Linked DNA regions of Arabidopsis thaliana. The protein of the gene in region 2 purifies or fractionates together with the protein of the main gene of each other region. This does not show direct contact. Each region holds a gene or a part of one and is shown on either strand. Other genes may lie near its edges. The genes, in order: AT5G27140, J2 and AT3G05060.

Region 1 (10,446 bases), 2.2 Mb from region 2:
TGACCAAGAACAATACAAGCACAAAGAAGTGCAACAAAGAGATTCAACGCAACCACAGAAGCGTGATCAGATGTCGATAACGAAGGCAGTTTCGACACTAGAGAATCCAACATTGTTATCTTCTTCTAGATCCAACAAACTTCCTCTTTCCAGATTTGATCCAAGAACATGAACAACTATTCAGATTTTGGATCAGCAAAATCTGGAAAAAAAAGTCTCTTTTATCTTTCCGTGCTGTCCACTGAAACCATTCCTGTTTTCAAGAAAACAGAGCTGAGACTAAACAGTGAAGCTGTGTAATGTATAGCATGAATCAGCTTTGACTATAAAAAACACACAAAAAGTGAATCCAAATCTGAGACTTTTGATACAAACAACAAAAAGCACAAATCCCACAAAAGGCTAATATTATTAAATGATGACAACATAAAACCAAATTCTCAAAATTTCCTATTTTTGGTAATAGCACAATATGAAATTAGGTCGGAACTTTAATAACCCAGATTTCAAATATCTCCCAACAACAAACAACAAACACAAAAACTTCAAATGAAAAAAAAAAAAAAAATTGGTGGATCTGATCTGAATTGCTTTACCTTGAACAACTTCTGGGTAATCTAAATATCTTCAGTCTGATTTACAAAAGAGCCCAGAAGATCAAAATTCAAAATTTTGGAAGCTTCGAAAGCTAAAACCTGAGATTCTTCTTCTTCTTCGTCTACGAGGAACGAAACAGAGAGGCGAATTCGAAAATTGAAGGAATTGGGGAAGAAAAAAAAGGAGAAAATTACGGGACTGAGGAAATTATACGAAATTTCGATTTTTTACTGGAAATAGAGAGAGACGTGTACGGTCCCTTTTTAAGAGAGAGGGAGATAGAGAAGAGAGAAGATTCCAATTTCTAAACACAGTAGAGAGAGAAATATAAGTTACGAATAGGAGAGAGATAGAGTGTATGTATTATTCTCTGTTGTGTAAATGAAAGTACAAATGGCGAATTTATAGCCGTTGATTTAAAGTTACTATCTGAGATCTGAACAGTTTAGTGTTTGGATTTATTGTGGAACTTATCGTAGACGATAAAACCTGACTGTACTAAGATTCATGATTTATCTATTTGATTTGTCGAGTACTTTTGGTTTTGAAGACAACAAGTTTTTTTTGGGTCACCGTTTTATTTATTTTTTTGGAATTTTCTTCACCTTGATGCTGAACTTTTTTAAAATTCATAAAAAACCTAAATACATAGTGAAACTCTGATGCAGTAAAAGAAAATATTATATGGATGAATTTGTGTAGACGAAATTATTTATAAAAAAAAAGCGTTAATGGCAAACTCAATGAACCAAAACAAAAAAAAACAAAATTTTATCATGATTTCACCTTTATTTTTGGTATCATTTCTTCTAATTTTATTAGAGATATACATTTTAGGATATATATATATATATATATATATATATGAAAATGGCAATGAATTTTTTTATACAAGGTTACTATTTTCCTTATCCTTTATCAAAAAAGGTTAATTTCTCATAAGATAAATTAGGTTATAGGGATCAAAATCTCACAGAAAGCAACAATGATTTAAACTTGACCAAGCGTTGTTACCTCAATTGGTAAAGATCCTAGGCGAAACTTAGAGGTCGTTAGTTCGAGTGATGTTTGGGACGAAACTAATATTACATGTTGTGGTTTCAGGCCTGAAGGGATTACGGGTTTCGGCCCAGAACCTCCTGATATTCCGAAAAAAAAAAAAAAAAAAAAAAAAACTTAAATATAAAACTATATTTCATTCTATTAATTGTTAATTAGTTTAGATAATAACAACTCATGAAATCATTAGATTAGTGCCGGTCTGCCGGATATGCTCCTAGCTAAGTCTATGTCATAACATATAGAATCGACTAGTTAATTATCGTGGTTCTACCATTTATAGTTTACCAGATCATACTGTATGCTTGAAAATTGATAATCTTTCGGAAATGAATTTGTTTTGAATATTCTCAAAAACGTGTTCATCTTAGTACCATATCTTTTTGTCATCAAAATGGTTACGGATCTTCTAGCGTTTAATCACCCTATTTGTTTTTTTGTAATATCATTGTTTTTGTTTTTGTCAACAACAAATATTAACATGTGAATTTATATTTTAGTAATAATATAATAACTATATTAGCAAAAACTATTACCCTACATATTTTGGTATTTTGTAATGTTGTTATTTTATTATTAAAAAATGTTTTTATTTTATTAAAATTTGAGAAGGATCAATTATTGAGTTATTGTTTATTCAATCTACGTGAGGATCTGAATCTAATTAATCATACAAACTCCAAAGTCTGTCCACGTCGTAGAAATTGTTTTAAAAAGCCCATCAAAATCTTTACAAAATAAAAAGTTTCGTTAAAATTGGATTACTATTTCAACATACAAAGTTTTCAAGTATTTAACGTGCAATTTAGTGCCAACCAAGAAAGATAATCTATTATTCTATTACATAGAAAAAGGATAATATTAACATATTTTACATACCGCCGACGAGACTCATAATTTAGATAAATGTTGTTATGTAATTGTTCTTACAAACAAATTGTTTTTATTATCACGGTTATGAAAATTAAATAAATTGTCTCATGGCTTTTCAAATATTTAAAAGGTCATGTCAAATAAAGTAGGGCCAAATTTCATATAGAGCTATCCACTTATTTTGGAATTAAAGATTAGGTACAAAAATGCATCACCTACAATCTACGGATCCAAATTATATATCATCACGATTCCCAAATTTACCTATTCACGACAATATAGTTGTTCTAACTATAGTTATATATATCTATATATATATATATATATGTATTTTGTAAGTAAAAATAATATGATTATTTCTAAATTTTCGAGGAAAAAAACGAGGCCATGTCGGAATGACAAAAAAATACTTTTAACGTTTACTAATTTTTAATTAGGAAATTATTGTTCATTGGTAACTCTTTTCCTTATAGAGTATAAACCAACTCACGTTCCTTACATATGTCGAAATGACAAAATATTTGGTTATTGTTAAATTGTTTGTTATTCAAGCAAACAGAGTGTTCTGGTCTTAATAGAGTAAAGATATAAGATTAAAACACACAAAAAAGGTAAATATTGAGCGTGACACTTTTTGCATCAGAGCTTTCTCTACATCAATCATGGATATCTCAAGGTTTCTGCATTTTTGTTCAACATACATATAAGGCATTTTCTAGAGCCTAAAGCCGGATCAATGAAATCCGGGGCCCTATTTAAATTACGAAAACAAAGTACTCTTATCTTAAAAATTATAGAGTAAATAGAAACTAATTTAAACAAAATTCTGGAGTTAAAAACAAAAGTACAATAATATTCTCAAATATTTTGGACCACACAGTTATTTAGGATTTATATGTATAAAACTAACTATTTTCTCCCATTATCAAAAATCAATATATGTATATATAACTAAAATAAAATTTCTTTGAGGCCCCTTTAGAATGGGGGCCACTGTAATGTTTCATGTTCATGTGTTATGGTCCGGCTCTTAGTAGCATCGCAATTTCAATAGGTTCGATTGAGTGATTCAAAGGTTATGGAATTCAAAGCCACATAACCTTTTTACAAATTTGATTTTGTTTTTGATCCACTTTTCTCTTTCATTTATTTATGGAATTGGATTTTTTTTTTATCCAACTCTTATGGATGTTTAGCTTGTGAATTAATCATGTTTAAATCCACTTGTAAATCAAGTCTAAAGCGACAGAACCTTGATGTTTACGTTCTTGTGAACATATTTGTTGGTCTTAACCACATCTTTAACTGATTATTTTTTTTGTCAAGTCTACCGAACCAAATGACAAGGGAAACCGTTTTTGAATTGAATGACTTTGAAAGAGTATCAACATGATCCTAACAAAACGTCAAGAAACTAGACGTGTTACTCACGCATAATTTTGTATATCTGAGCTAATGGCTTACCATAGCAACTGGTTAACAGAAAAGAAATAGATTAGAGAAATTAAAAGCATCAGGAGTAATAATCCTGTTACACCCTCTTGTTTGCTCTTCTTTGCGGGATCTTCCACGGTTTCAAGTTCTGCTTCTTTCTTCCTCTTCTTCGAACACTCCTCAGTTTTGGGTTCTTCCTCATCATCAGCCTCCTTCTTTGTATCTTTGTCATTAACTTCTTCTTCTTCTTCGCATGCTCCTAAATCTCCTCCTTCAAGATTTCTCAAGCGCGCTTCAAGCTGTCGAAAAAAATTAGACCATCAAAGAAGGAAGAAAAATGTAGATAGGATCGGGCGGGAGAGAAGAATACCTTTAAGCGGCTTTCGACTCCCATAGTGTTGTCTTGGCCATTACCAAAAGCATCACACCGGATAGCAAGAGCAGATTTTGCAGCTAGTGAACGTGCGATTTTACCCTTGTTCTCTGGTGCAGCTTGCCTAACCAAAGGTGCGTGGTAGATTAAACCATACTTTGGAGTGGCTTGTTTGGTCTTAAGGGCTTTATATAGGGTCTTTTCAGCTCCAAGAATCTGAATTGTGCTCCATGGTAGCTTTGAGAGGTTCCATAAACTACCACAATGAGATATTAAGCGAGCACCGACTAGCTCCCCGACAAGGGCAGTTAGATTTGGTGCAATTTTGTTCATTTTGTTCTTCAAGTCGTCACAAAGCAGAGTTTTGTCCTCAGCGATTGAAAGAACTTGGTCACAGAGTTCTTGGATGTGCATCAAATCAAGGTCACTGACTTCAGTTCTCGTAGACACCATAGAAGCCTCTTTTAGTTCTGCTTCAACTTCATCAGCCAATATCTGAGATGACATTGGACACAGAAAGATGTTTCATAAAGACAAAACTATAGTTTAATGGAAACAAAAAGTCAAGGAGAATGGTAAATAAGGCTTTACCTCAGAGAAGTCTAGCGTTGCAGCATTAATCCGATTCCCCATTAGTTTAACCACCTTGGCATATAAGATATTGTCCTGTACAATATTAGCAAGCTCGGGAAAATGCAAACCGTACAATTCACAAACGCTCGTAGTGTAAGTGTTAAGCTCTTTGTCAAGATCATCAAGCAGACTGATAGATAGGATTATCATGGTCTCCACCTAACAAAACATTTTAAGTATGAGAGGGGAAAAGTAACATAAGCAAGGGTAAAACAAAACACAGAGAACTCAATGACTACCTTGTCAGAGGTGATTTTTAGTTTATATCTAGCAAGGATGTGAGACAATTCCAAGCTCACTGGAGCTAAATCATTATCATCCAATCCGGATAAAAGTTCGGTTAACTGACTTCTCACACCTCGTAACAGCTCCATAACAGCATCGTTGTGAACACATTCTATGTCCTAGAGGAGAGAAGCAAATCCGTAAGACACAAGCCATATATATACAGAAATATGTAAAAGATCATAACAAAATACACACCAGTTTCTCTGTGATGATATCTCCAAGCTTTGGATCAGCCACAGCTAAGATTTCACCATCATCACAGTTATTTTTCAAAAACTTGTGTAGACCCTTGCTTGGAGTTCAGATGTGTTGTCAAACTTATGAAAAGCTTTTAGCTTAACCATCCTTCGAGCTGACTCTGCAGAGTAGAACTCAGTACCCAAATCCTACAAGAACAAATTTGACATACTTAGAATATTAAAAACAAACGACACATATAGACAAGGTTAAGATCAATGAAAGTAAGAGAATGAATAAGGTAAATAACCTCAACATTAGAGAGCTTTCCTTCATCTAATACTTTAAAGAGTGCAAAACCACCTGACGTCTCAAACAGTACGAGCATCTTTAAGATTACGAGAAACCCTTTAATCAACTCAACATCTCAAAGTCAGAACTATACTTAGTCAAAAACTAATACTTGGAAGCCACGTTCCACTGACAACGGAGAAAGATTCAATAAATACCTAAGAGGATTTAAGCAAAGCTGCTGCGTTAGAGAAAGAAAAAAAGAGGAGCAACGAATTTGCTATAAGGGTTCGAGATTCTTAATCGACGATCTATATATATAAGAAAATAAATATATGATTTTCTATTAAAAAGTTACGGAAAAAAAACATGTGAAAATATAATTTTCACAAAAAACTAAAAAAAAACCTTTAAAAAAAAAACTATTCTTATTTTCTTAAAATGGTATATTTCTAAAAAGAATTATACAATTAATTTTTAAAGATGTCAAAATAACCGACCTTACTTCTAAGGGAAAAGATTATCAAAAACAAAGTTTATTTATTCTCTATCAAAAACAGAGTTTGATCTGCTAATTTTAATATACAAATTGTAAAATATATGATTACCTTAAAGAAACTATAAAATTAATTACTAATTCGAAAAATGATTATAGTTACTTTTTTAATAAAATGTTGGTATAAATATGTTCATCTAATCTACGTTACATACATAATCTTAAATTAATCTCAAGTACTCTGTTCAAAGTTCAAACACATCACCTAACAAGATGACCATTAAGGAATCAAAAAGTGTTCAGCTAAAGGCTAAAACTCATGTAAAATTACAAGCAAAAGCTCCAAAAACTGTGTTCTTCTTTTCTGAGAATCCAAATTCAAATCACTAACTTGAATTTAACATCAACAAACTAGTAAGTGGAATTGCAAAACTGATTCAAACAATTTACTTTCAACTTCGAAAGGGTTCACATCAGAGTATCAAACAATAAAGGAAAAAAGGTTTACAAAAACTTAAATTGGATCAAGAATCTCTGTTTACAATGAGACAAAATCAGAACAAGTTCTGAAGATTACAACCACATCATATCAGACATGACGTCTAAAGTCGGAATCTCCGAAGTTGATCATTGCATTGGTGTTATCGAGACCGAAGTAGCTGTTTAGACCAAACACATCATCGTTGGATAGATCATTCCAAAAGCAGATCTCATCATCCAAATTGACATTGGCCTCTGTTTGTGTTTCTTGTAGTAGTAGATTGATTTGGTTAATCTCTTCCTCTGTTTCAAATCCTTGGATCTCGGAGCTAGGGTTTTGATCAAAAGAAGCAACTTGTGAAGATGATTCTCCACAGATCTGATAGAGAGAGGAGTAACAGTCCTGATCAAAAGACGGAGACGAGAGGTTAGGGTTTTGATCGCCATGGAAAGAAGAAAAGGTTTGATCGCTGCAATACTCGTTGACAGAGTTTGGAGTAAAAGTAGAAGCAATTTGCGAATAAGAAGATCCATCACAATCCTCGACGTCGAGAGAACAAGTACTATTAGGGTTTTGGTCGAAACTAGAAACAAGTTGAGATTTTTCTTCCTTCTCAAGGCAAGCCATCACATGCTTCTTCATTCTCTGTAAACGATCCTCGATAATGCTTAACTCAGAGAGATCATCACACGAATGGTAGAGATCAGGGTCTTCCCACCAAAATCCTAGTTTGGATCCGGCCGGGTTAACAATCTTGGGTGGAGGCTTGCGATTTAGGTAACAATCAGCGATTTCGTAGGCAGAGGAGTAACCGGAGAAGGAATAGACAACATCGGAACTATCGGAGGGAGAGGTTACGAAGACGGCGATGTTAGCACCGGAGATAAGACAGAGATCGGCGGCTTTGGAAAAAACAGTTTGACGGCGTTTAGAGCAAGTCACGGCTCGTTGCTCTTTGGTTTCTCGTTTCTTTATTTCGATTTTGCGCTTTGTTCCTTTCTTCATCATCGTGGAATCAGATGAAGGCATAATGTTTCTTACGGAGAGACAAATAGACACAGAGAAAAAGTGAAAAGAGAGAGTAGAAGCAAGATAGATATATTACCCATATTTATAGATGTAATAGCCGCCTGAGTTATATATGTCAAACTTAATTAGGTCTTGTTGTTTTCCTTTTACTGCCCAACTTTATTTCTATGCATTTAACGTTTTTTTTCTTTCCTACTAAAACGTTTTAGAGATTTCTTTTATTACAACAATAGCAGAAAAAAATTATTACTACTATAAACAATTAAACATATATATTGGATATTCAAAATTATCTAAATATTAGATTTTAACCCGCGTTATACCGTAGAAATAATTTATTTTTTTAAATCAGTATATATAAAAGTTTGCAAATTATATCTATCTATAAAATAAAAATATTTTATAGTTTACAATTGTTATTAAGTAACGTTCTTTCAAACCCGTTCCGCCAAACTCGTCCCGTAAAAAAACCCAGTGGTACACCGTTAATTTAAATATATAATTAAAATAAATATTTTACGGGATTGCAATTGTATTTTAGTTTGTCAAACAAATTTTTTTAAAAATATTTGTCGAAATCTAATTCAAATTTTGGAGAAATTAGATTTAGTGAATTGATAAGAAATGTATTTAGGTGCATTTTGCTCATTTTAAGGGATTGCAATTGTATTTTGGTTTGTCAAACATTTTTTGTTTTAAATAGTTACCGAAATTTAGTTCAATTTTGGAGAAATCTGCGTGATATATGGGATTAGAATATATTTGGAATTTTTTTTGCTTGTTAATTAATTTATTGCAAAAAAAACAATAATTAAAAGCTAGTGGCAGCCATTATAAATAAGTTCCAACTCTAAGATTTATTTCACAAAATGGCGGCAAAAATGTATATGTAGATTTAGTTACCTATAATCAATGTTCAAAAAATCGTTGTACGGTAGCTAGACGTTCGATAGATGTCTAGGCTATTTTTTTGAACATTACCTATAATAAGTACATAAAACACTATATATTAAACTTTTTCGCGGCAACTAAATCTAATAATACTAAATCAACAGTCACTTTTAAAAAAACTGTAAGCTTCTCATTTTGACACGTATGCTTTAAGTCTAAAATTTTGCACTTCCACAATCGTAAACCAATTCACTTCCTTTTACTATTCAATAGAATATTCTTTTTTGACAAAAGATAAATTTAAATTTTTTTAACCACTTTTTCAGCAACTACTTCTTCCACGTTATTAAGATTCTTTACTTTCTCTCCCATCTTTCAAACCCTCTGCCAGTTAATTTACGATCTCAAGAGCAACCGTATAAGCCATTCTCAAGAAGATAAAAACAGGTTTAAATTCTTCTTCTTCTTTCCTTTCTCATAATCTTAGATCCTCCATTCTTTCATCTAAATACGTCTACCAGAGAAACGAAAGAATGACGTAAATAATGAAAGTTGAGACTTTTGTGATACCTAATGTGATGGACGCTGTTAACCCCTCACGACTCACTGAGTTTGGTCCACCCAATCGCTGGTATGAATATCAATAAACCTTTGGCCGTTTTGTTGCGTTTTACTTGGTCTTATCTTCTTACATTTTCCATGCACACCCGCTGCTACAAAATGACCACATGAGTTTGCGAGAATCATATAGAAACAAAATGGATGCAAATGTTTTGGGGCTTTCAATTCAGAAAAAGAAGAAGAAGAAGAAGAAGATAACCAAATTGAGAGATGGGTGGCATGACATGACATCTTCTTCCACGGTGTAGTGTGCAAAATAATTTAAATGTGAAACCATCTTATATGTTCAAGTTTAGAAAAGCGTTTTGGTTAGAAGGTAATTCATTTCTCCATCATTATTATTGTTAAGTTTTTTGAGAAGAAAAAACGGCTCTGTATATATATATATATTTTTTTCTATATATCTATGAGATAAGTTAGTGTATTTATGTAAGATTATTTGCTGTTTCCAATAAAAGTTTTCTTAATTTTAACACATATATTATTTTACAATTTGAGTAAAGTTGAATAGGACTTTTATTGAGAGTTATAGAGCAATGTGTGATACACATTGTATTTTGTGAGGTTGTGATATTCGTCATTTGTGTAATTGTTGCAAATTTCAAAGACACGAAATATATTATTGGTATTGTTGTTTTGCGTGCAAGGCACGGGCTGCCTACTAGTTTACTTACAAATAAAAAGACTTTATAAATTAAAATCCAGTTCGATAGGTGTCTAGGCAGATTTTTTGAACATTACCTACAATGATTACATAAAACACTATAGATTAAACTTTTTCCACGGCAACTAAATTTAATTAAAAATAAAAAAAACTTTATGAATTAAAATCCAGTTAAATATTTTAAAACATATATGTTCAGTAGTAAATTTTGATATTGACGGAACCATTATCACGAAATATTCAGAAAGAATTTTGATTCATATTCATCACAAAATTTATAGCACAATAAAAATATATACACACACAAAGTAGGTAGACTCTAGATTTTATTTATCTTTTGAAATTTCTAAGGTCTGGTATGATTTGCCTTATGCTCAACCCAATCCATTTCCAATTGACTATTAAGGTACTTTTTAGACTCACAAATATTCATTTTGTACAAGGTTTTTTAAAATGTCAATGATACACTTGATGAAAAATGTCGACTCTTCGGACTGATCTTTACAAATTTATGAACTAATCAACTATGAGTAATTACG
Region 2 (10,646 bases):
ATTTGAAGATGGCCATGATATTATCCGTATAAATATGTGTAGACATGTTTTTCATCGCCTTTGTATTGACTCTTGGCTGAAACAGAATCAAAGCTGTCCGAATTGCCGATGTTTTTAAGTAGAGATTATTTTAAATAGATTTATTTCATAATTATTCATCTAATTAGGATATTTGGTTATAAATGCGTTTACATTTCTGAAATTAACGGGTACATATGATATAGAAGAAAAAATAAAAAACAATTCAGGTATCAACAAGCTAAGTAGTCCTAAAACTTATTAAGGTTTTTCAGATTTACCCACAACACCTGATATCTATTGAGGTTTTATGAATTCAGATTTTTGGTGGGAAGATTCATCTCTAGGCTTTGATGTTTTTTACCAGCTCCTACGTCTTTACTGGTAACACTTTCTTGGTTATAAATCATTTCTTTTAAGTGTAACATGTTTGTTTTATAGAAATTAAAGATCGCATTTTATTAAAAATAATATCGTCTTGAAGACCATCATGATTCGTTATTATGCTGCCGTATGGGTGTTTAAGCTTTGGTAGACAAAATCAAAATTTTGAGGAATAAGTAATGGACAACATCTTCTCGAGAGTTTGGGGCCACATTTCGTTGTTCTTATCCAAAATAATGAAAATATGAAAAGTTTACTTATGAACTAGGAGCAAAAAAAAAACAGAAAACAAAAAACTCCCCAACTTCAATTAATATACATTGTGTTAAACAATATACATTTTTCAAAATATAAACCTTAAACTTAATTCATTTAACAAAGGATTTTACTTCACCTGTCGGACTTGAAATTTCTAATTTTTTTTCTTTCAATAATCGATCACTGAGACTATTTTACAAGGTTCCAAAAACTTGAAAAAAATAATTTAAAGTTTTTAACAAAGAAACAAAAGAGGGTTAGTGACAAATAATCTCTAATAACTGTTTATTTAGTATTAAAAAACCGTTATCATTACTAACTGTTTTTTTTTTTTTAACACAAATCACTAATAACTGTTAAAAATATAGAAAGAGGAAGAAGAAAAAAAGGCGTGAGGTTGATATTACAGCTCAGAGCTAAAGCTTTCGTACAACTGACACTCCTCCAAAACTTCCAAGAAAGCATCAGATCCCATTCTCCGCAATCATCTCTCAATTTTCAAAAAAAGCAGATTAAAACAGAGATTAGCGAGTGAGAGAGAGAGACAAAGATATAGAGCTTCTCGTGAAGCAACAGTGAAGAAAAGGAAAGTGAATCGCCATGGATGATCGCCTTCGCTTAAGCCGCAGAATCCGCTTTCTTCTTCTTGCTTGGCTCCGTCGTTCTCGCTCCGGTAACCCTCACAATTTCGTCCCAATCTCCCTTCATTTTCGTGATTATCCTCTGTTTTCAGATTTGGTTTCCACTATTCTCGACTAGATTTTGACTTTCTTAGCTCTTCTTTAATCTCAGATCAATTCTAATGGATCTTCTAGTTGATAGATGTACTATAGTTCGAGTATGTTCTAGGGTTTACGTTATCCCTGAGGTTTTAGTAAATTTGATGTTGGTCAATGCTTTGGAGAAAACTATGATTTGCTTAATACTCTGTTCTAATTTCGTGGAGATTTCAATTGGTTCCATAAACTTGGCTGTTTCTTAGTTTCATGAATCATTTGAGTGACTTGGTTTGACTTTTCTATATGAGACAATGTTAGTCTGTGTTGTATGTTATAGTTTCTGGAGTAATTTATACATGCTTCAATTTTTGATATCATTACAGGAAGAATAGAGTTTATCAGACGATTTGGATACAAGGAAATAATCAAAGCAACAGAAGGTTTCCGTAAGGTTATTTACACCAACTATCACGGGTCTGCATACAGAGCTAAATTCAAAGGTGGTGAGGTTGCTTTGGTCAAAGAACTCACTGCTCTTGATCTTGGACGAGAAAGGTTTGATGAGGAAGTTCAGCTTTTGGGTCGCTTACGTCACCGTCATCTCCTTACACTTCGTGGGTTTTGCATTGGACGAAAGAGGTTTCCTTTTACTTCTTGAAAGTTGAAACCTTGAAAGAGAAAAAAACAATTTTTTGTTTGTTTGTTTGCTTATGATTTCTTGTTCTTGCTTTTCAGGCTGCTAGTGTTTGACAACATTGAAAATGGAAGTTTAAAAGAACACCTCAATGGTAGAAAACTCCCAATACATAATCATCAAGACATAATCCTTTATTGAACCTTTGTCTCTTTCTTGATAGATCCGCTTAAGACTCCTTTAAATTGGAAGACTCGCATTCAGATAGCTATTGGAGTCGCAGCTGCATTAGTAAGTTGTTTTTAAAAATCATGGACAGTAATATGAGTTCTTGCTTATTCAACACAAGAAGATTATGATCCGCTCTTTGACTGCAGGAATACTTGCTAGTCTTCAGCAGTAATGATGCACAGATATATGATGTTTCAGTGAACTCATGTAACATCATGTTGGATGAAAACTTCACCCCCAAAGTAAGTTCGAAGATACAAAGTTCAGTGCAGACAAAACCAAATTTCAATAACTGAAATCTTCCTCTCACAGATTTCAGATATCCGCGTCAACAGACATCCAAAAAACCATCCGAAAGCAACCCATGATTCTTGTTCTGAAGGTTAAAATTTCTTCTTTCCAAGATCAATGGTATTCTGCTTTACTTAAGGTTTGAGAATTTGATATGTAGGATCATGTGCGGATGAGGAATGTGGAAACGTGATATTCCAACTAGGAGTGTTGATGTTGGAGCTGATCACAGGACAATCATCAGACAGACAAGGCAATGACTTGATCGAATGGGTACAAGACTCGTGTATTGCAAACTCAATTGATAAGATGATTGATCCAGATTTAGGTAACAACTATAGCTCTAGAGAACTCCAGAAAGTCTTAGCCGTGGCTCGACTCTGCATAAAAACGAGGTATGAGCCTCCTTCATTCTCAATTACACATGTATACCGGTATCTACAGAAGAAGATCGATGTTGCAACTTGAATACTAGTTTTTTTTTTGTGAATTGAATTGGGTTTGATGGTTGAAATTGAGATGACATGTGGTTTATCATCCTTATTTAGTCTTTTGCCTATTTTTACACCATTCTAGATGTAATAACAGCTTATAGTGTAGTAGCATTGTACTTGTCTTGATATAACTTTTGATATTTGTAACTGATGGCAATTGATTTCTTTCTTACCTTATTTGAAAAACAACTCTTTACCAAGTACTGGTGAGAATCTCTAATTCTCTAAGCTGCAATCTAAATGGTCGCTAGTAAGTAATATTGGTATTGTCAGAACCATATCCTTGTACACGTCTCCTCTACTTTGAATAGGCCTAAAAGGCAATCCCCGACTTATGATTTTGGTAGAATTTGGGACAACAAATAGATGGTGGGTCAGGACAAAATCTCAAGAACTACAAGTTTATTTCTCAAACCAAAAAAAATGGTGTAACAAGGATTTGAATTAGGACGAGGTTCTTCCCACTGAATTGGCAAAGTCTATAAAAAGACCCAAAAATAATACAATGAAAAGGAGAAAAGACAGAAGCAAATATTGGAGATCACTAAGATGCGCATGTTGATCACTGCTGGGCACATTGCACACGCTGAGCACCGCCTGGGTGATCTTCCTCATCGTCATCATAAGCCTCTCTTTGAGCTTGCGCCTTCCTTTTCATCTCATCCTCAATGTTCACATCATGCAGAGTCGTCTCTTCGCAGTCGTCTATTTCCATATCGCTTATAGCTGCCTTGGTTGGCTTTGGCAAAACTGCTTCAATGGCCTTTGTCTGATCCGGGCTCAGCGATTCCGGGAATTCAACCGTGAAGTGAATGTATAGCTTACCCTTCATGAACGGCCTTTGGTATATTGGCATTCCCTCATCACTTATCGCCTTGTATGAATCTATCAGCAGTAAAATAGACACCATGGTAAGATAAAGAAAAGTTGTCATCTATAATACAGAAAGGGTTTATGACTGGGCCAAAGTAAAATACGTACCAGGTTTGACGACCTCTCCGGGCTTGGATTTGATGAGAAGCTGTCTTTTGTCCAAATGGGTCAAGACAAACTGGAAGCCACACAAGGCCTCGGTTAGAGAGATGGTGTGCTCCACAAAGAGATCCTCACCCTTTCTTTTGAACTTTGGGTGCTCCTTCTGCTGAATGACAAACACTATATCTCCGGTGACAGTATCAGGCTGTTTCCAAATGAAAAAGAAAGGAAAATGTCAATAGACGAAATATATAATGATCAAAGCCAGGACAAATAGAGTATCACATACCGCTTCATCGGCTTGTCCACTGAATGTGATCTTCTGATTGTGTTGCATTCCCTTCTCCACATTTACTTCAAGCACCTTCTTCTCAGAGACAACCTTCTCTCCTTTGCATTGTGGACACCTGTCCCGATCATTGATGGTCTCTCCTGTGCCTTTGCAATCATTACAAGCATGCTGCACCTGCTGCATCATTCCAGGTCCAAACTGCCTGATCGAGATCTTCATTCCCGAACCTTGACAGCCACCACATTTCATTGAAGCTCCAGACTTTGAACCCTTGCTGTAATCATAAAGCAAATATTGTCAGAAACAGTAAAAATTTGGTAACAAACACAAAGCAATACAACAACTGTGAAAGTATAAAGTAAATAAGAACTAACCCGTTACACTTTGAGCACAAAGCCTTCCTAGAAAGTGAGAGCTTCTTTGTTGTTCCGAGATAAACATCCTCTAAGGAAACCTTCAAGGGATGAACAACATCTTCACCACGCCTCTGCCTCCTTCCCCGGCTATGACTTCCGAATGGGTGTCCACCACTACCAAAGAAGGAAGAGAAGATATCAAATGGATCGTGTCCACCACCTCCACCACCCATTCCTTCCTTGAGTGCATCTTCCCCATATTGATCATAGATCTCACGCTTCTCAGGATCACTTAAAACTTCATAAGCCTGTGCTAACTCTTTAAACTGCAGAAACAAGAATTAAACCGTTAACTATAAACTCAAATCATCATAACCTCCAAAGCAATAAATTCTTGTCTCAAAAGTTCCAAAAGAAGAAATTTGGCTATCTGAATATTCGTAATCCCAACAACAAACAATCTAACAACTTTTAACTATCACAAGACAAAAACAACCATCAATAGTTGACCTAAAACTCGCAGATTTCAGATCGAATCGAACATTCGTAATACTAATACGAAGATCTAAGCCTATATCAATCGGAGAATTCAAATCAAACTACTAGATTAACGAATTGAATTTACAGAGAATCTAAGCGAGAATCGAAAAGAGAAACCTTTTCGGGATCACCACCCTTATCAGGATGGTTTTTGATAGCGGCTTTCTTATAAGCTTTCTTGAGATCTTCTGGTGCTGCGGTCTTAGGAACACCAAGGATCTCGTAGAACTTTGTGTTATCGCTCTTCCTTGAAGGTCCTCTTCCAAACATGTTTTTTGCTCTGTTCTTACGAAAACCCTAAAAAAAATAAACAGAGAGAAAAGTCTTCACGAGGAGAAGGAGAAGGAGAATGTTGTGGCTGCTAACTTGTTTGGTTTTGAAGACTTTGCTTCTGTTCAAGGTCTTGTGAAGCGGAACACTCTAGAACTTTTTATATCTTTTTCTTTTTGCCCTTTTCCTTTTCTCAATTTTGTTTTTATTGAGAAAGAAATAGGAAATTTCTTCTATGATAGACTAAAAATATAGACGGAAAAAAAAAAGACTAAAAATATGGAATTATGGAAATTTTAATTTAAAAATTGTAAGAAAAGGAGATTACTTTGAAATTTACATTAAGAAGTTCATATATTCATCTATTGTTGTTTGACATATAACATATTAAAGGTCTCTTCTTTTCAGTTAACAAAATATTAAGGTTTTTCTTTTATCAATCAGAATCCAAATATAATTAATATACAATAATTTTATCTCTTTTTAAATACAGACTTTAGAGTATTATATCAACATATATAATCTAACTGCAAACAAAAAAATATTATAGACAGGCATATAATCAAGTTATTTCTGTTATTTATTGATTAAAAATTAATTTTTCGATTTTCTATGTAATATTTATTAGTTATTATTGATAAATTTTAAATTTTAAAAATAATAATTAAATAATATTAGTTTAGAATAGTAGAAAATTATTAATCATCAAAAATAATATATTTATAATCAACTTTTAATATGTATATTTTTTTAGAAAATCAATTGTCAAGGAATAGATGAAATATAATTTATTGAATGCAATTTAGTCCTGACTGAAAAATGTTATACCCGATCAACATAGAGAATCCAATTGACAAATTTTGTCAAGTACTTCAAGTGATCTAAATCATTTTATAAATGCATGAGTAATGCAATATCTCAAAACAAAATGATTACACAAATCATTAATCATGGGCCTGAGTAAGATATTAACCCGTTTACTAAAAGTGCTTCAAACATTATTCACATGGGGTACTTATTCATTCTCCTTTACCAAAGTGCGTCATGTGTCGCGTACGATATGTACGACCAATGCTTATGATAGCTAATACAACTTCGTAAGTACGTATAAAAAGACTTTTAACAAAGTAAAAAAAAAGTACATATACAAAAAACAACAAGCACTCGTTGTAGATTTTGCCTCTAGGTTCCTGGATCCAGCCTTTAATTTGACTTGGTTTCGACTATGTTCCATGTAATATGCTTTGGTTGACTTCAAATCAATGCATCTATTTTGGTATACCGTATCTATATCAATTCTCCTTTCTTTCTTTTGTATCATGGGGATTATAAAATGATTGCATTGGGCTGTATATTACTCACACATTCAATATAAATTATTATATACACTTATTCTATTAAAAAAATAATACTAAAAGGCTATTCTCCAATGTTATTATTTTGTCTTTTTAAGCATTATGAGGCTTTATTTGAATATATATCACATCGTTTTAAAAAATTTACCATCCACGACGCCTACCACGAAGTATTGACTCCATTCAAATTACGATTAGCATTATGCACTTTATGCGTAATTCTCAGATTAATACCCTATTGTAATTTTATTTTTTCCTTCATAAACCGAAAATCAGAAAATTTTGGATTATAATTTGTAATCATATGGACTGGGGATAAAAAGCGGGTTTAATCTCCTTCCAAAGAAAATTGAACCATAGTATTTCTGTTGTAAAGAGTCATGACTCATGAGTATAAAAGCATAAGCTTATACATCTAATCTAATACGTGTCCTTAAAAAGAAATAAAACATCCATCCGAGCAAAATAGTGCATTACCAGTTACCAAATCAGTTGGACCTACCGAATTAGATACAACATTCAATGTCTAATTTATTACAAAAATCCTCACGTTTATTACTAAAAAACATAAAAATCAAATGAATAAAAAATAGCACTCACACATCATTATCGACCGACGTATCATCGCCGTTATCAACGACGGTAAACACAGCGCAACGCCGTTAACTCATCCGTCTCGTTCCGATAAACAAAACAGTTACTATAATAAACTTGACGACGTCAGGTATTATAACGCTTGTCGGTTTTGTAAATTGACGTAAATACCCCTACGGCCAAAGTGGCGCGTCAATCACAGATTGATTAAAAACAATACTCCGTCATCTTAATCTCTCATCATCACTGACTGTGATTGAATTTTTTTTTTTTTTTACAATCTGAGATCTGAAAGATATTTCTAAATTCTCATTAAATTCCCCCATAAATTTTCAATCTTTGCTGATTTTCCCCCAAATTTCTGGAGATAGATAACCTTCGTTTTTCAGGAGTTTCTTTCTATATTTCTTCATCGATTTCGTTCAGTCTTTGAGAGAGGTTCGTCGACGTATTATCGTCGGAAAAAAGCTATGAGAATCTATTTCTCATAGCTCCAGTAATGTGAAATCGAGACAACGCTTTATCTTCAGAATCTGCTAATCCATGGGAGATTCAATCACATTCCGGTAGATTTTTTTCCAGTTTCTGGGGAAGTCAAAAATTTCTAGGGTTTCCGATTTTTGTTTTCCTTTTCCAAATGTTCTCGAATCAGTTTGTTCTCTTCTTCTCTCTTCTCCTATGTCTCCCATTTGTTTTCTTCTTTGTAGCGCCACATGTGTTTCCTTCTCCTCCTGGTGAATCTTTAATCCCAATCTCCGATGAGATTGATGACCGGAGTTTATTCATCGCCGCTGCTGGATCAACCTCTCTTTCTCATCTCTCATCTGGAAACCCTAACCCTAAGCTCAAGATTGCTTTTCTATTCCTCACCAACTCCGATCTCCATTTCGCGCCAATCTGGGATCGATTCTTCTCTGGTCATTCGAAATCTCTCTACAACGTCTATGTCCACGCAGATCCTTTTGTCAATGTCACAAGACCTGGGAATGGCTCTGTGTTTGAGAATGCCTTCATTGCAAACGCGAAACGCACCGCAAGAGCTTCTCCGACTCTTATCTCCGCCACGCGGCGCCTCCTCGCTACCGCTTTCCTTGATGACCCTGCGAACACTTACTTCGCTGTGCTCTCTCAGTATTGTATTCCTCTCCACTCGTTCAACTATGTTTATAGCTCTCTCTTTGAATCTTCAATTTTTGATAAATCTGATCCGGATCCGAATCCGAATCCGAGAGGTATTAGAATCTTGTATCGGAGTTTTATGGAACTGATATCTGATGAGCCTAGGCTTTGGAAACGGTACACTGCTAGAGGAAGGTATGCTATGATGCCTGAGGTTCCGTTTGAGAAATTCAGAGTTGGTTCGCAGTTCTTTGTTATGACTAGAAGACATGCTTTGTTAACAATCAAAGATCGGATCTTGTGGCGTAAATTCAAGCTCCCGTGTTATCGTTCTGATGAGTGTTACCCGGAGGAGCATTATTTCCCGACGCTGTTGAACATGAAGGATCCGGATGGTTGCACTGGGTATACGTTGACGCGAGTTAACTGGACTGGGACTGTGAAAGGACATCCTTATACTTACAAACCAAAGGAAGTTGTGCCAGAGTTGATCCAGAGACTCCGGCGATCGAATCACTCTAGCTCCTACTTTTTCGCCCGCAAATTTACTCCGGATTGCTTGAAGCCGCTTTTGGCCATTGCAGATTCTGTGATTTTCAGAGATTAAGTTATGCAGGTAAGGTTTTTTCCCAAAGCCTCTACTTTGTTACTGACTTTCATAATTGTGGTGTGTCTATGTGTTTTGGTCTAGGAACTAAACCGAGATTGATAGTTTTGATCTAAAGCCATCAAAAATGAAAAATGTTTTTATAAGTAGAACATTGGCTAAGGTGGTTACACAGTAATTGGATTTTATAGCTTAATCATCAAACTCTGGTTTATTAGTGAAGGGCTAAAGAAAAGCACTTGAAGTGTTTTTTAGACTGATCAAGAATGATAAGAATCAACTTGGATTATACAAATCTGCCATGAAAAGGATACTGTACTCCTTTCGGCTGCATTGTTTTGTTATATTGTTTGTTGAAGAAGACGTGGTGAATCCAATTTAGTAATTTAGATCAAACAATCCCGAACATTACAACGGGATTGTACAAATGTGCCATAATAAGTGTACCTTGCTCTTTTCTTTATCTGTTTCATTCCTCTGTCATACATCGTTGAAAAAGTCGTGTTGAACTGCATTGTGTTGGTGTTCACTTGCTTGGGATCTTTAACAAAACTGAATAGATGCTCACTTTCGCTTTGCTTTTGGGTATTGTCTTTTCAGGGTGAGAAAACAAAAGTTTTGGTGACCGGAGAGGTTTTATGTATGGGTTGAAGAACAAATGCCACTTTCAGAATTAAGAAGAGGCAAAGCGAAACGATGTTAGGAGGCTTTGAGGCTTGAAATAAATAAACCAGCTTTAGTGGTACTCGGAGCTCAGGCTTGTTAGCTGTTGTGACATATATATCACACGACACGAGAACACAGATCAAGAGACAGAGAAACCGAACTTGTAATTTTTTTTTTTGTTTTTCTTTTTGTTCTTCTTTTTGTTCTTTGGAGCTGGTGCTGTTACATAGCAGAGCTCTTTTTACCTCAAAGGCTTGGGGTCTGTAGCATTATAATTGTGTCAAGGAAATCTATGAAGAGAATATGTTATCTCTTGTGGTGAACACCACATTGAATATATAAAAGATCAAAGTTTACTATTTTAATCTAGAGGCTAATGACATCATCTGGACTGAGACGCAATAAGTTAAGGTCATAATGTGAGAAGTGAGATATCGCTTCCCTGTCTCTGATGTATTTGGAAAGACGAATGAAGTTGGTGATGTACAAAGGGAAGAAACACAGACACAAGAAGAGAGAGTCTGAGATTATCCTCGAGAAGACCAATATCTATCAATGTCAACAACAGCAAAAACAAATGAAGGCAGAGATCAGCCTTTCTTGACCGGCCTTTGGACGTATGATTTGTTCGGATCCTCTGTCTTCAATTTTGGAGGTCGCGTCTCTCCTTTTTTGGCCTGATGAGTGACAAAAAAAGAGGCTTAGATTGAGTTCTCACTTAAATGAAAAAAAAAAAAAAAAAGTAATTCACCAATGCAAGCATTTTCCTAGCTAACAATGTGTCTCTTACCTTCTTTCCTGCTTTCTGAAAGTCTCTCCAGCTTGATACCTGCACATGGAAAC
Region 3 (11,451 bases), on a different chromosome or scaffold from region 2:
CGTTTCTTCTCCTTGTGGTTGAGTCAGGTGCTCCAATGGGAGCCAAAGGGCCTGACCAAGTTTGAAATGGCTCTTTGGAGTATGATGATGTGAATGAGTTTGTGCTATACGGTATCTCTGATGGATCCAGTCGCCTTGAAGATCCCACCTGAAAACCGAGTGACCCGTCTTGATGCGGTGGAGGAAACTTCTCGCTCTTGCTCTTTGCATTCGCGTGTGTGATCATACGCATCCTCTGTTTTAAGAGAACAAGTTCAAAGTACTCAAGACATTAACCAATCAAAGATTCACTTCTTTTTTTGTTTTAAATTCTTACATCAATGTTAGACTGGTTCTCGGCGTTGGCTTCAGGAGCCGGCATTGCTCTTGGGGCTCGTTCTCGGGGTCTCATTCTTCTTCCGCTCTCTCCTTGGGCCTTGCGCGCTTCTCTTTGTCTGCAGAAATGAATACATCTCTCAAGCAACCATATACCAAACCAAAACATATTCTGACTAAAACTGAGATTGTACCAAACCTATCCATACTAGAACAGAAACGCTTTACCTCCGATACTCTTCGTCTCGTCTCTTGGCATCAATCTCTTTACTTGGAGGATATTTCGGGAGATCAGAAGGTTGACATGCCAATGGCTCCGTCGTGAAGAACTGCACAACAACAACAACAAAATCGGCCATGGAAGTTTTAACCACTATCAAGTCACACGCCTAAAGATTCACAAGTTCCAAGCATTTTTCATTCTTAGCGTCACTCTCATTTCTGTAATCTAACTTGATACCCCTAACTAGTTTGTTCTATTCAAAGTTTCAAAATTTCCATTGCAAAAAACTTACATCACTCATCAACACATCTGTAGCTGTCTGGCGTTCAGCTGGATCGAGCGCTAGAAGCGTATCGAGTAGAGAAAGCGCCTCAGGAGAGAAATCTTTGTAAACCTCTCTTATTCTTCTCTTATACTGTGGTAAAGGCTTGTGATGAGCATGCTTATGAGTAGAAGGAAGTCTAATCTTCTTCCAATATTCTTCTGAAGGCGATCCACATAACTTATATATCCTATGCAACTGCTCGACCTGCTCGTGAACATTAAGCCAGTTCACATTTCATATGAAATAACTCAAATCGGAAAGAAAAAGATCATTACTTGAGAACTAACCTCGTTACGACCTGGCATTATCGCTCTACCAGCTAATAACTCAGCTAAAATGCAACCAGCACTCCACAAATCAACTCCGACACTGTACTCAACAACACCATGAAGAAGCTCTGGTGATCTGTACCATAAAGTAACAACCCGATTCGTCATCTCTTGCCTCTTACTCGCATCAAAAAACGTTGCAAGCCCGAAATCACCTATTCTAAGAACTCCACCGTCATCTATAAGAAGGTTTGATCCTTTAATATCACGGTGTAGAACTCCTCGGTTATGGCAATGCTCGAGCCCTGAAAGTAGTTGCTTCATATAGCATTTAACCTGAAAACATAGACATTATTAACAAGGTTAGGATCTGCCTCGGATTTTGTATTTGTGAATCTATTTCACCAAGGCCTAACCTGTTGCTCAGTGAATTTTATCTCCGGGCTAGCGGCGAGACCAGCTAAATCATGATCCATATAACGGAAAACCAAGTATAAACTACTCGACATCCTCGAAGTAACCAAACCTTCCAATTTAATGACATTAGGATGATCCAATCTCCTCAAAATCAGAATCTCTCTAGCCATAAATTTTAAACTCTCCCGTTCATTAACATCACACCGCACTTTCTTTAAAGCCACAATGTTTCCTGTCAGCGAATCTTTCGCCTTGTACACATTACTATACGTTCCTGATCCAATCTACACACACACACACACATAACCAACAAACTTCAATTACCCAAAATCATTGCAAAGAACAAACAAAAACAGATTTTGATCTCACCTTATCAATCTTCTCAAAGGAATCCGCTTTTCTTGGAAGCCATCCGCTTAACGCTTCCCCACAAACTTCAGACAACCACGAGGGCCATCCAGCAGCAACTTGCTCACCGAGCAAATTCTTTGGCGGGTTGCTCCGTCTCGGGTCAGGAGGCTTAGACCTTTTTCTTTCGCCTTTCGATTTCCTCTCCTTGGCCTCAGTCACAACAAAGCCATTCTCTTTCTTCTGATCCACAACATCTTCATGATTCCTAACTTCCTCACCATTAGAAGCAGAAGCAACAACAACAGCACTAGTGCTCTCTGTTGTTTCGGTTTTGGTCACAGACACATTGTTAACTTGATGTCGATTAGACTCAATCCTAGTACTAACTTCGTCTCTAGACCCAGAAACTGATCCTGATGATCCGGGTCGACCCAATACACAACCCATCTCATCAAACAAACCTTCATTTGCTCAACATGTTTCTAAAAGAGAGATCTCTGACTCAATCAAACCTCTTTGAATCAACTTTGACTGCAACACACACACATACATGAAAAATTGAAACAGAAAAAATCAGAAAACAAACAAGAAAATTGATTCCAACTAGAAACACATCGAAGATCAGATTTGACTAAAACAGGAGACTTAGAGAAAAGGGTTGGTGAAATTTACTTACTTTATGATCGAGGAGAAGCGAAATTCTGGACCAAGCTGGTCAAATCTGAGACTTGAACAGAGAAAGAAAATTAAACCCTAGTTTTAAGACAGGAGACAAGTCAAAGGAAGGTAAAGATCTGAAACTTGTTTAGAATTTAGACACAACACAAAGCTGACTCAAACTCAAAGAGACAACGAAAATAGGAATGAAATGAGGGATGATTTCAAAAACTCCACAAAGAGAGGCAAAAAGATAAAGGAAAAGGAAAAGAAATGGAGTCCAAGAAGATTTTAAAAATGAAACCTTTAAAGCATACACAAAAAAAGAAGAAAGAAAAATCAATTAGGGCTTTGGAGAAAAGGCAAGGTGATACATACACATATACAACAGAGTCGTAGACCAATAATAACTCTACTATTGTTTAAGAAGGAAGAAAGAGACCAACTTGGGTAAAAATGTCTCAAGGAGAAGAAGGATTCGTTGAACTGCTCTTCGAATTTTACTTGAAAAAGAACTCTCTTTAGTTTTCTGCGAATCAGACAAGAAAAAGGAATAAATAGAAACAGACGAAGATCTGTTGGCTCTTTGTTATTATTATTATTATGTGTAAGTAATTGTTTTTGGACGCAACACCAATACGGTCAAAAAGGCTCAAAGTTACTACTCTTCTTCAGCCCCCACCAACTTAAAAACCTCTGAGCACCATTTTGTACTCATTTCTTCTCTCTTTTCTCTATCACAATTTTCAATTTTAAAAATTTGTGGAGTACTATAAGTCTATAAAGTTTGGGGGAGATTTTAATGTGTAAGAGGTCCAATGGTGTTAAAGAAGTGGTTTTCTCAATGACATTAGAATATTAAAACTGATCTATAATTTTGTTGGTCAAAAACAATATATTACTTAGCATATGTAAAGAATATTTGGTATGTACCCACCTAATTTTGGAATTTATTATTAAAATAAACACTAAGAGTTTTTTTTAATATTAAAATAGGAATTGGAAAAACAAATAAAATAAGAAATATGGTATGTAATGAGAGTTTACTTCATCTATCCAATCAAAGAAGCTCCTTTATCAAGACTCTATTGTAAACCAAACAAGGAACAAAAGCTTAAGGAACTAATGATTTACGTCTGTCCTTTAGAATTAGCCATTTTATTTCTTTTATGACTTAAAGCTACATATATTATCTATTTATTCATTCATTCCCAGCATTATTGCTAACTACTATGTATTCTTGTAGACGATATACTAATTTTATTGACCTCATTAATTTGATTAAAATCTTGCCAGACAATAACCAAAGATAAACATGCATAGTCAACAAAGAGAAATACGATCATGAAAAAGATACTAACGCCTGTAAAAAATCTTTAAAATCAAAACAAAATCAAAGAGTATTTTATTTGGTGAATCTACAGACACGTTTAGTAGCAAAAAACTATTTGATTTTTTCAGAATATATTATTTTTCTTCAATTCTTTCCTCTTCCAGATATATATAAATCATGCAAGAAGAATATTGTACAACTACAAACTATAAATTGAAAAAAGAGTTCCAAAATTAATAATCTAGAGTCTGGAAGGCTAGAACAAAAATAAAGTTCGGGTGAAAAGGATTTAAATATGAATCCATCATTCAAAATGACGATTTCAGAAAATTTAAGTTTCATCTTAAAACACCTATTCCTCTAGATAAAATGCAATTCAACAAAAACAGTTATTAATCTTACACTCAAGAGATTTCTCAAAATCGGTTTCTCTCCCTCAGTCCTTACTCTTCTTTTTCTTCTCTTTCTTATCCTTCTTCTTGGCTGGTGTCTCCGTTGTTTCTTCTTCCTCATGCTTTCTCTTCTTCTTATTCTTCTTCTTCTCCTCCTTTGCAACCTCTACTACGGCTTCAGTTTCTGCTTCAGCTTTCTTCTTCTTCTTTTTCTCTGATGGCTCTTCCTCTTCGGGTTTCTCTTCTTCTACCTTCTTCTTCTTTTTCTTATCTTTCTTCTTTGATGGCTCCTCAGATTTAGCTGAGGTTTCCCCAAGAAGAGAATCTGCAGCAGTGTTGTAAGTCTGCACATAACAAAAAACAGTCAAGATCACTTCATCATAATCCCAAGAACAAAGACAATATGTACACACATCCAAAATTAGAAGAAAAGATGATGAATCAAAAACAGAGAGAATGATCGTGACCTTAGCAGGAGTGATAAGACCGCCTGATCCCATCTTTTTATCCTTGTTATAGACTTCAATCTTAGGTTTGCCTTTAGATGAACCAGACAGACGACCTAAATCTTTTCCTTCAAGATTTCTCAACCGCGCTTCAAGCTGTGAGTTTTTAACACATATCAGAAACATCATCAGTTAAGAAGGAGGAAAAAAGATTGTTCAGAGAGATACCAACAAGAGGAAAGCTATTGAAGAATTTTGTTACCTTAGCTCGGTTTTCAAGGCCCATAGTGTTATCTTGGCTATCACCAAGAGCATCAACCCTAATAGCAAGAACAGTTTTAGCAGCTAAAGACCGCGAGATCTTTCCCTTGTGCTTTGGTGCTGCTTGACCAACCAGAGATGCGTGAAAAATCAAACCGTACTTGGGTGTGGCGTGTTTTGTCTTAAGAGCTCTAAAGAGAGCTTTTTCGGCTCCGAGTATCTGAACCGTGCTCCCAGGTTGCTTGGAGAGGTTCAATAAACTACCTCCATGGGAAATAAGACGAGCACCAACAAGCTCTCCTACCAGGGCAGTCAGATTGGGAGCAATAGTGTTCATTCTGCTCTTTAGGTAATCGTAAAGCTGAGCTCTGTACTCAGAAAGAGAGAGAACCTGGTCACAGAGTTCACGGATGTGCAACAAGTCTAAGTCACTGACTTCTGTTCCCATGGATATCACAGCTGCGTCCTTAAGATCTGCCTCAATTTCATCTGCTAAGATCTACAATGAAACCAGAAACAGGAGAATATTAGGTCGTTAATCAAGGCGTTTGTTCATGGAAGCCTCTACACAGTTTACAAAATTGAAAGTTACCTCGGAGAAGTCTAGCTTAGCAGCATTAACTCGGTTTCCCATCAATTTAACAGATTTGGCATATAGGATATTGTCTGATATGATCTTAGCAAGCTCGGGAAAATGCCATCCATACCATTCTCTAACCCTCATGGCGTATGTGTTCAGCTCTTTGTCAAGATCATCAAGCAGACCAATAGCTTGGATAATCATGGTATCCACCTGACAAAAACTAAACAGTTAGGAGATGCAAGAGAAGCAAAAACAAACACAGGAAACGTTTAATGTCGGACAATCAAAGGCTAGTTCAATACAGAAGTTCCATAATTTAACACAAGTTAGCTTCGATCAATTAACAAATTCATATACTTCACATATCATATCACCAAATAAAAAGACCAATACAATTAGTCAGGAACCGAAGATACCTTGTCAGAACTAAACTTTAGCTTATATCTGGCGAGACTGTGAGACAGACCCAAGCTCATAGGAGCCAAGTCTTGATCACCCAACCCAGATATGAGTTCAGTAAACTGACTTCTAACACCACGTAGAAGCTCCATAACAGCATTGTTGTGAATGCAATCAATTTTCTGTATGAAATTAAGAACTTTCATTAGAAACAAAACACAGAGCAGACAGGAATATGGGTGTAATGATGGGAATTACAAACCAGTTTCTCCTTGATAACATTCCCAAGCTTTGAATCAGCCACAGCCAAGGTTTCACCTTGACAATTAGCTTTCAAAAACTTGCGCAGACCTTTGCTTGGAGCTCCCTCCAGCAATTTAGCCACAGCTTCGAGAGCTTCAGATGTATTGTCAAACTTCTCAAAAGCTTTTAGCTTAACCATCTGGTACACCAATAAAAACATATGAGAAACTCAACACTAAATCTAATTTTAGATGTTCTGAAACCACACTTGATGAAGAAGCAAAAAAATTACCTTTCGTGCTGAGTCTGGAGTGTCGAACTCTTTACACAAATCCTGCAAAAAAAAATAAAAAATAATCCATGAATACTTTTAGAGCCTTAAGGATAAGCAAAGAGAGTACAAAAGAATGAAGAGAACTCACCTCGACGTTAGCCATCTTTCCTTCATCTTTAACTTTAAAGAGGGCAAACCCCGCCGCTGTCTCGTATAGCACTAAGACCATCTTCACAAAACTCTTAAGCTGGACCTGAAGAGAAAATTAAGACAACACTTAACTCAGAACAGTAAAGATACGTGTCCGAGTCACACTAATTAAACTAAAAGTTCGTTTTGAGATTAAAAACTAGCGAGAAACAGCATTCCATATAAACCCTAATCCTACTTTTAGATCACATAAGAAATACAGGAGAAGAAAAAACAGAGAGATAAACTACAATAGCCTTAAAACTCTGTCCGAGTATGAGTATTCGAAACTCCACAATCTCCAGCAAGAATGGAAAAGTGAAACACCGTGAAGAGAGAAGATGAGAGATATTAAATACCTGAAGAGTTAATCAAAGCAGCTGCGTGAGAGAGAGGAAGAAGATGAAGACGGAGACGGACAATCACTTAGGGTTTTAAGAGTGTGTTGTTATAGCAGTTAAAGACGAGCCGAGCCTTCTTAAAACGCCGCGTATTGTAAGGGGTATTTCTATAACTTCCATAGTTAGGGTTTAGGTTTTAAGATTAATGGGCCTGACTGAATGGATATTTTAATCTGGCCCGTTTATAATATTAATACGTGGGCGTTTTATTGTTCTCTTCCCCCTTAATAGTTTTTCTTTTTTAATCCCTTTGTTTCTCTGTGGTATTCAACAAATTTGTCTCGAATTTATAGAGCTCGAAGCTTCAAGGTACGGTTTCAAATTTTCTCGTTGATTTTCTGGGTAGATAGCGTTTTCCATACTTCTCTTCAACTTTATTTCATAGTATAGCTCTGATTTTGCTAAAACTTCATCTGATTAGTTCCGTGGATCCTGAAAATCACGATTTTGCGTGTTGTTTAGGGTTATACTCTGTAGTTGTGTGATTAGTGTTTGAAGAAGCTGGGCTAGTGTTCGATGTTTACGTCGATAACCTAATTTTGCAGGAAGTTATAATGGCTAGTGAAGATGAATCGATTGAACAAAAAGCTGCTGCTCGTAAAGAGGCACTTAAAGCTCTAAGGGCAGCTCAGGAACTGTCTGAGACCAAGGAAGACGGAGAGGATGAAGCTGTCGAAGAAGAGTGAGTTTGCTTTGTTCTTTGCTTATTTTGTTTGTCTTGACTAGCACATGGAGTTGTTAATGTTGTGTGTTGGCTTTAGCATAACTAGGAGCTTCTCTTGTGCTTTGCTTCTCGCCTTTACTATCACTGTTTGTGAGAGAATCAATAATGGTGCTCTTGCAGCATCTGTTACCTAACAATTTTTTCCAATTTCAAGTTGCATTGTTGTGTATACTTTGCTTAGGTGGTTGGTTTTGTTGATTGATTATTCGAGGTAGATTCCCTTTTTATTCATATGAATTGTCTTTGATTTTACAGTGGTCCAGCCATGAAGTTTAGAAACTATGTTCCCCAAGCTAAGGAGCTTCAGGATGGTAAACTAGCGCCACCAGAGCTACCCAAATTCGAAGATCCGATCGTTGCACTTCCACCTGCTGTAGAGAAGAAAGAGGTGTGTGTGACAGTTTTTCTTTTCTCTGTACAAGGATCACCAAAAGCGACTCTGTTTAGCATTGTTGTTTCCTTTACTTGTGCCTCTTAAGCTTACAAAAAATGTTATCATTGTAGGACCCATTTGTTAACATCGCTCCAAAGAAGCCAAACTGGGACCTCCGAAGAGATGTGCAGAAGAAGCTTGATAAGCTCGAAAGGCGGACTCAAAAGGCAATGCATAAACTCATGGGTAAGTGGCAACTGTATCTACATACTGATATCTTCTATGTAAGCTTGATAATTAAGACATTAGTCTGTGGTTCGTGAGTAAGTGAGTAACATTTCACTGAATCTGTTGGTAGTATGATACCAAATCATAGAAGTCCAAAATAGAGTGATCTGTTGGTGTTTGTTTATTATGGAACTAACACATGCACTTTCATCATCTAATTGCAGAGGAGCAAGAGAAAGAACGTGAGATGGCTGAAGCTGATGGTAACACCATAGAAAGTTGAAACCCAACGACGTCATCAAAGAAAGCCACCACTGAACAGTATATTCTACTCGATTTTGTTTAACTGTTAAAGCATTCGAAGTGAGTAGACCATGTAAAATCCTACAGCCATTGGCATAGACATAGTAGGTTTATCTTCTTGTGTGAATCAAAGAAAGTCGCAATTTATTTCCGAGTAGAATTAAGTGCGGTCCGGTTTTTCTCTAAATTTGGTTCAACATCGGTGGTAATCTAGTTTGATCATTAATGGAACTGCGTTTTTTGGTTTGATTCGATTTACTGTGGTTTGATAAAGACATCCCAAACTAGAAACCAAAGTTTTGATTCGGGCTAGACGGGTTTAGTTTGGAGTCTGGGAAAACAACACAGAGAGCTTCTAAGACCTTTCTTCTCGGCATGTTGCTTCCACAGTGGGATGATGGAGTTTAGATACAATATTTGTTTATTAATACCGAACAATCAAAAATAGATACTAAGTTTTTTTGTTTTCCAAAGCTCAAACCTAATGTACAAATTCAGTAAAGCTTTCGACACCATCTCACCTAAATATCTTGGACCTTTATTGGTGCCCACTTCTCATGAATCCAAGCTCCAAAGAAGAGAAGCTAAGTAAACACTAGGCCAAGGTAAACCAAGATATATGCTTTTCGAAGGAACAAGCAATGAAAAGCTATAGACTTCCATGTGATTAAATGCACCAGCAGACAGATCCCAATCTGTAGAGCAATAAATGAATATGGTGATATTCAATTTCAAGGCTTCGATCAACATAACATTATTGTTCCTATCATTTGTTTCAAACCAAAAAGAGCAATCTACAAAGGCTTTGGTATCAGGAGTTGTGAAAAAGCTCACATGAAAAATCTACCAACTCAAGTATCTCTATTTTTCTTTCTGATGAAAATACCTAATATGAAATCACCTTCCCAAGTAAAAACTGTCAAGTAGATGGAGCCGCTCAATAAATTTTATCTTGACAACACACCAACATAATGCATTACCACAAGTTTTCACCTTTTTCTAATATTTTACCTCAAAAGTTATCTAGCTATAGCCACTCTGTAGTTGAGAATCAGATCCTCAGGTTTCTTCCATACATATGCCCGTACAGTTGCTAAACTCATATCTGGAGATAAGACCTGAAATAATCACAGAGAAACAGCTCGTTCAGCCTCATACTGCAAACAGTTAATTGAAACCAGAAACAGGGCAATAGTTGGATCTCTTGAAGTCTGACTTGCCTGGCTATTACATAAGATCTCAATGGAAGGTCTAAGTTTCTGCCAAGGCTTTAATCCAGACTGTAACAATCCATTTCCTGAAAACAGTGGCTGAGGTTGTCCTCCTGAAACACTTGCTGCATCAATAGCTAGACTATCCAACGGATTGTCAAGGACCATCTTTTCCACAACGTAATTGGTAACCTACATAGACATTTAAGAAGCCATTGAATAACAGAGAGTGCAAGCAAAACTACAACTTAAAATTACAGATAAATGCACCTTGTGAACTCTTAAGATCCGGGGTGCACTAAGTTTCCCTAGTGTAACCACCTGCACCGATGAACCTTCACATGGATGCAGGAAGAAGCTTAATCTGTAAATTTGAAGAGCTTTCAAAGTCAGACATTTTATGAAAGAAGTTTTATCTATTTATAAAAAAATGTAAAAACATATGTGATGAAATTGCTAAAAGTCCAAACTATTTTTTTTTTTAGAGAACAAGGTACTGCCGAATACTTTGTATTTTCTCTAGGTGGAAGCCGATTGTTCAAGACAGCGTCCAAGCACCACAATGGGAAGTCCTTCTCATCTTCAGTTCCAGTAAACTCGGTTATCTTCTTCCTCCATGGTCCTCCTTGAGAACCCTCAGTTATGATGGAAGGAGGGGAGACGGAAGAAAACTCGAATGGAGGATACACCGGATCACTTGCAGCACTACTCTCTTCAGTTTTTGATGCACTTAGATTTTTTTTGGTATCTTTTACAGATAAAGTATCTCCAGAGGCAAGAACTTGGGGTTTTGGTTTGTGTTTCTTCTTTGCCAGCCAGTGACCCAGCAGGCCTTTCAGTGTTTCACGAGCTAGATTAATCTACAAATCACAAGATCCAATGACAAAATTAGGTTTACTTTGACTAGGTTAGAGCAAACGAAAATCTAAAATATTCAATTATGGTGAACAGATTCAAATATTAATTGCATACAGAGATTTATTAGTATATGCAACAGTAAGATAATAATAAAATATCTGATTAGATTCAACATAACTAAAATGCAGGCAATTAATCTACCTTATCATCTTCAGGTCGCCCAGAAACTTTAAGGTCTGCTGAATACATTTCAGCAGAGAAGCATTGTGGAGTCTCCAAATGTACAGATAAGCATCCAAGTCGTGTATCCACAGTAAACCACGATGGAATGCTTACCTAAGAAAGTAATATGAGCAATAAGTAAACAAACCTGCTAGCCTCACTAACGATAAATAAATTATAACCTTTGAAAATCGATCAAGAGACTTACCATCTCAAACAGTTCTTCTTTCTTCTCTTCAAATGAAATCTGTAACGATGGGAACAGATATATTTCTCTGACTTAGTACTTCTCCATTTGCGTTTGGAGTTGAATATAAATAATATTCCAGAATTACAGCGGCAGATACATAAATCAAATATCAGAAACTCAAAAAAGATGTCTATGTTCCATAAATACCTTTCCATAGTCCTCTACCACAACACCCCTAGTTATATCCCATAGTTTCACTGAGCC

Evidence for each region.
Region 1: the proteins of J2 (region 2) and AT5G27140 fractionate together in Arabidopsis thaliana (co-fractionation; one large-scale study listed by BioGRID). This does not show direct contact.
Region 3: the proteins of J2 (region 2) and AT3G05060 fractionate together in Arabidopsis thaliana (co-fractionation; one large-scale study listed by BioGRID). This does not show direct contact.

Annotation. Positions count from the first base shown.
Region 1 is NC_003076.8:9,543,918-9,554,363, reverse strand, and holds AT5G27140 (NOP56-like pre RNA processing ribonucleoprotein), read right to left. Parts: upstream 5,823-10,446; coding exon 5,745-5,822; intron 5,644-5,744; coding exon 5,599-5,643; intron 5,546-5,598; coding exon 5,453-5,545; intron 5,374-5,452; coding exon 5,209-5,373; intron 5,129-5,208; coding exon 4,928-5,128; intron 4,832-4,927; coding exon 4,334-4,831; intron 4,263-4,333; coding exon 3,990-4,262; downstream 1-3,989. Other genes in the region: NHX1 (Na+/H+ exchanger 1), read right to left, coding at 1-113; AGL39 (AGAMOUS-like 39), read right to left, coding at 6,811-7,731. UniProt on the Arabidopsis thaliana protein: Required for 60S ribosomal subunit biogenesis.
Region 2 is NC_003076.8:7,300,207-7,310,852, forward strand, and holds J2 (DNAJ homologue 2), read right to left. Parts: upstream 5,665-10,646; 5' UTR 5,463-5,664; coding exon 5,310-5,462; intron 4,979-5,309; coding exon 4,671-4,978; intron 4,571-4,670; coding exon 4,294-4,570; intron 4,210-4,293; coding exon 4,011-4,209; intron 3,915-4,010; coding exon 3,592-3,914; 3' UTR 3,300-3,591; downstream 1-3,299. Other genes in the region: AT5G22050 (Protein kinase superfamily protein), read left to right, coding at 1,261-1,333, 1,763-2,018, 2,115-2,167, 2,237-2,304, 2,391-2,486, 2,557-2,626, 2,696-3,003; AT5G22070 (Core-2/I-branching beta-1,6-N-acetylglucosaminyltransferase family protein), read left to right, coding at 8,049-9,137; AT5G22080 (Chaperone DnaJ-domain superfamily protein), read right to left, coding at 10,394-10,480, 10,594-10,632. UniProt on the Arabidopsis thaliana protein: Plays a continuous role in plant development probably in the structural organization of compartments.
Region 3 is NC_003074.8:1,408,848-1,420,298, forward strand, and holds AT3G05060 (NOP56-like pre RNA processing ribonucleoprotein), read right to left. Parts: upstream 7,210-11,451; 5' UTR 7,037-7,209; intron 6,742-7,036; 5' UTR 6,718-6,741; coding exon 6,637-6,717; intron 6,549-6,636; coding exon 6,507-6,548; intron 6,414-6,506; coding exon 6,234-6,413; intron 6,154-6,233; coding exon 5,989-6,153; intron 5,783-5,988; coding exon 5,582-5,782; intron 5,489-5,581; coding exon 4,991-5,488; intron 4,885-4,990; coding exon 4,750-4,884; intron 4,627-4,749; coding exon 4,327-4,626; 3' UTR 4,020-4,326; downstream 1-4,019. Other genes in the region: AT3G05050 (Protein kinase superfamily protein), read right to left, coding at 1-235, 317-434, 544-644, 831-1,067, 1,151-1,468, 1,549-1,833, 1,919-2,347; AT3G05070 (Cwf18 pre-mRNA splicing factor), read left to right, coding at 7,633-7,760, 8,058-8,190, 8,307-8,421, 8,628-8,686; AT3G05080 (uncharacterized protein), read left to right, coding at 9,191-9,298; LRS1 (Transducin/WD40 repeat-like superfamily protein), read right to left, coding at 9,726-9,824, 9,927-10,109, 10,188-10,281, 10,425-10,777, 10,977-11,111, 11,206-11,244, 11,395-11,451. UniProt on the Arabidopsis thaliana protein: Required for 60S ribosomal subunit biogenesis.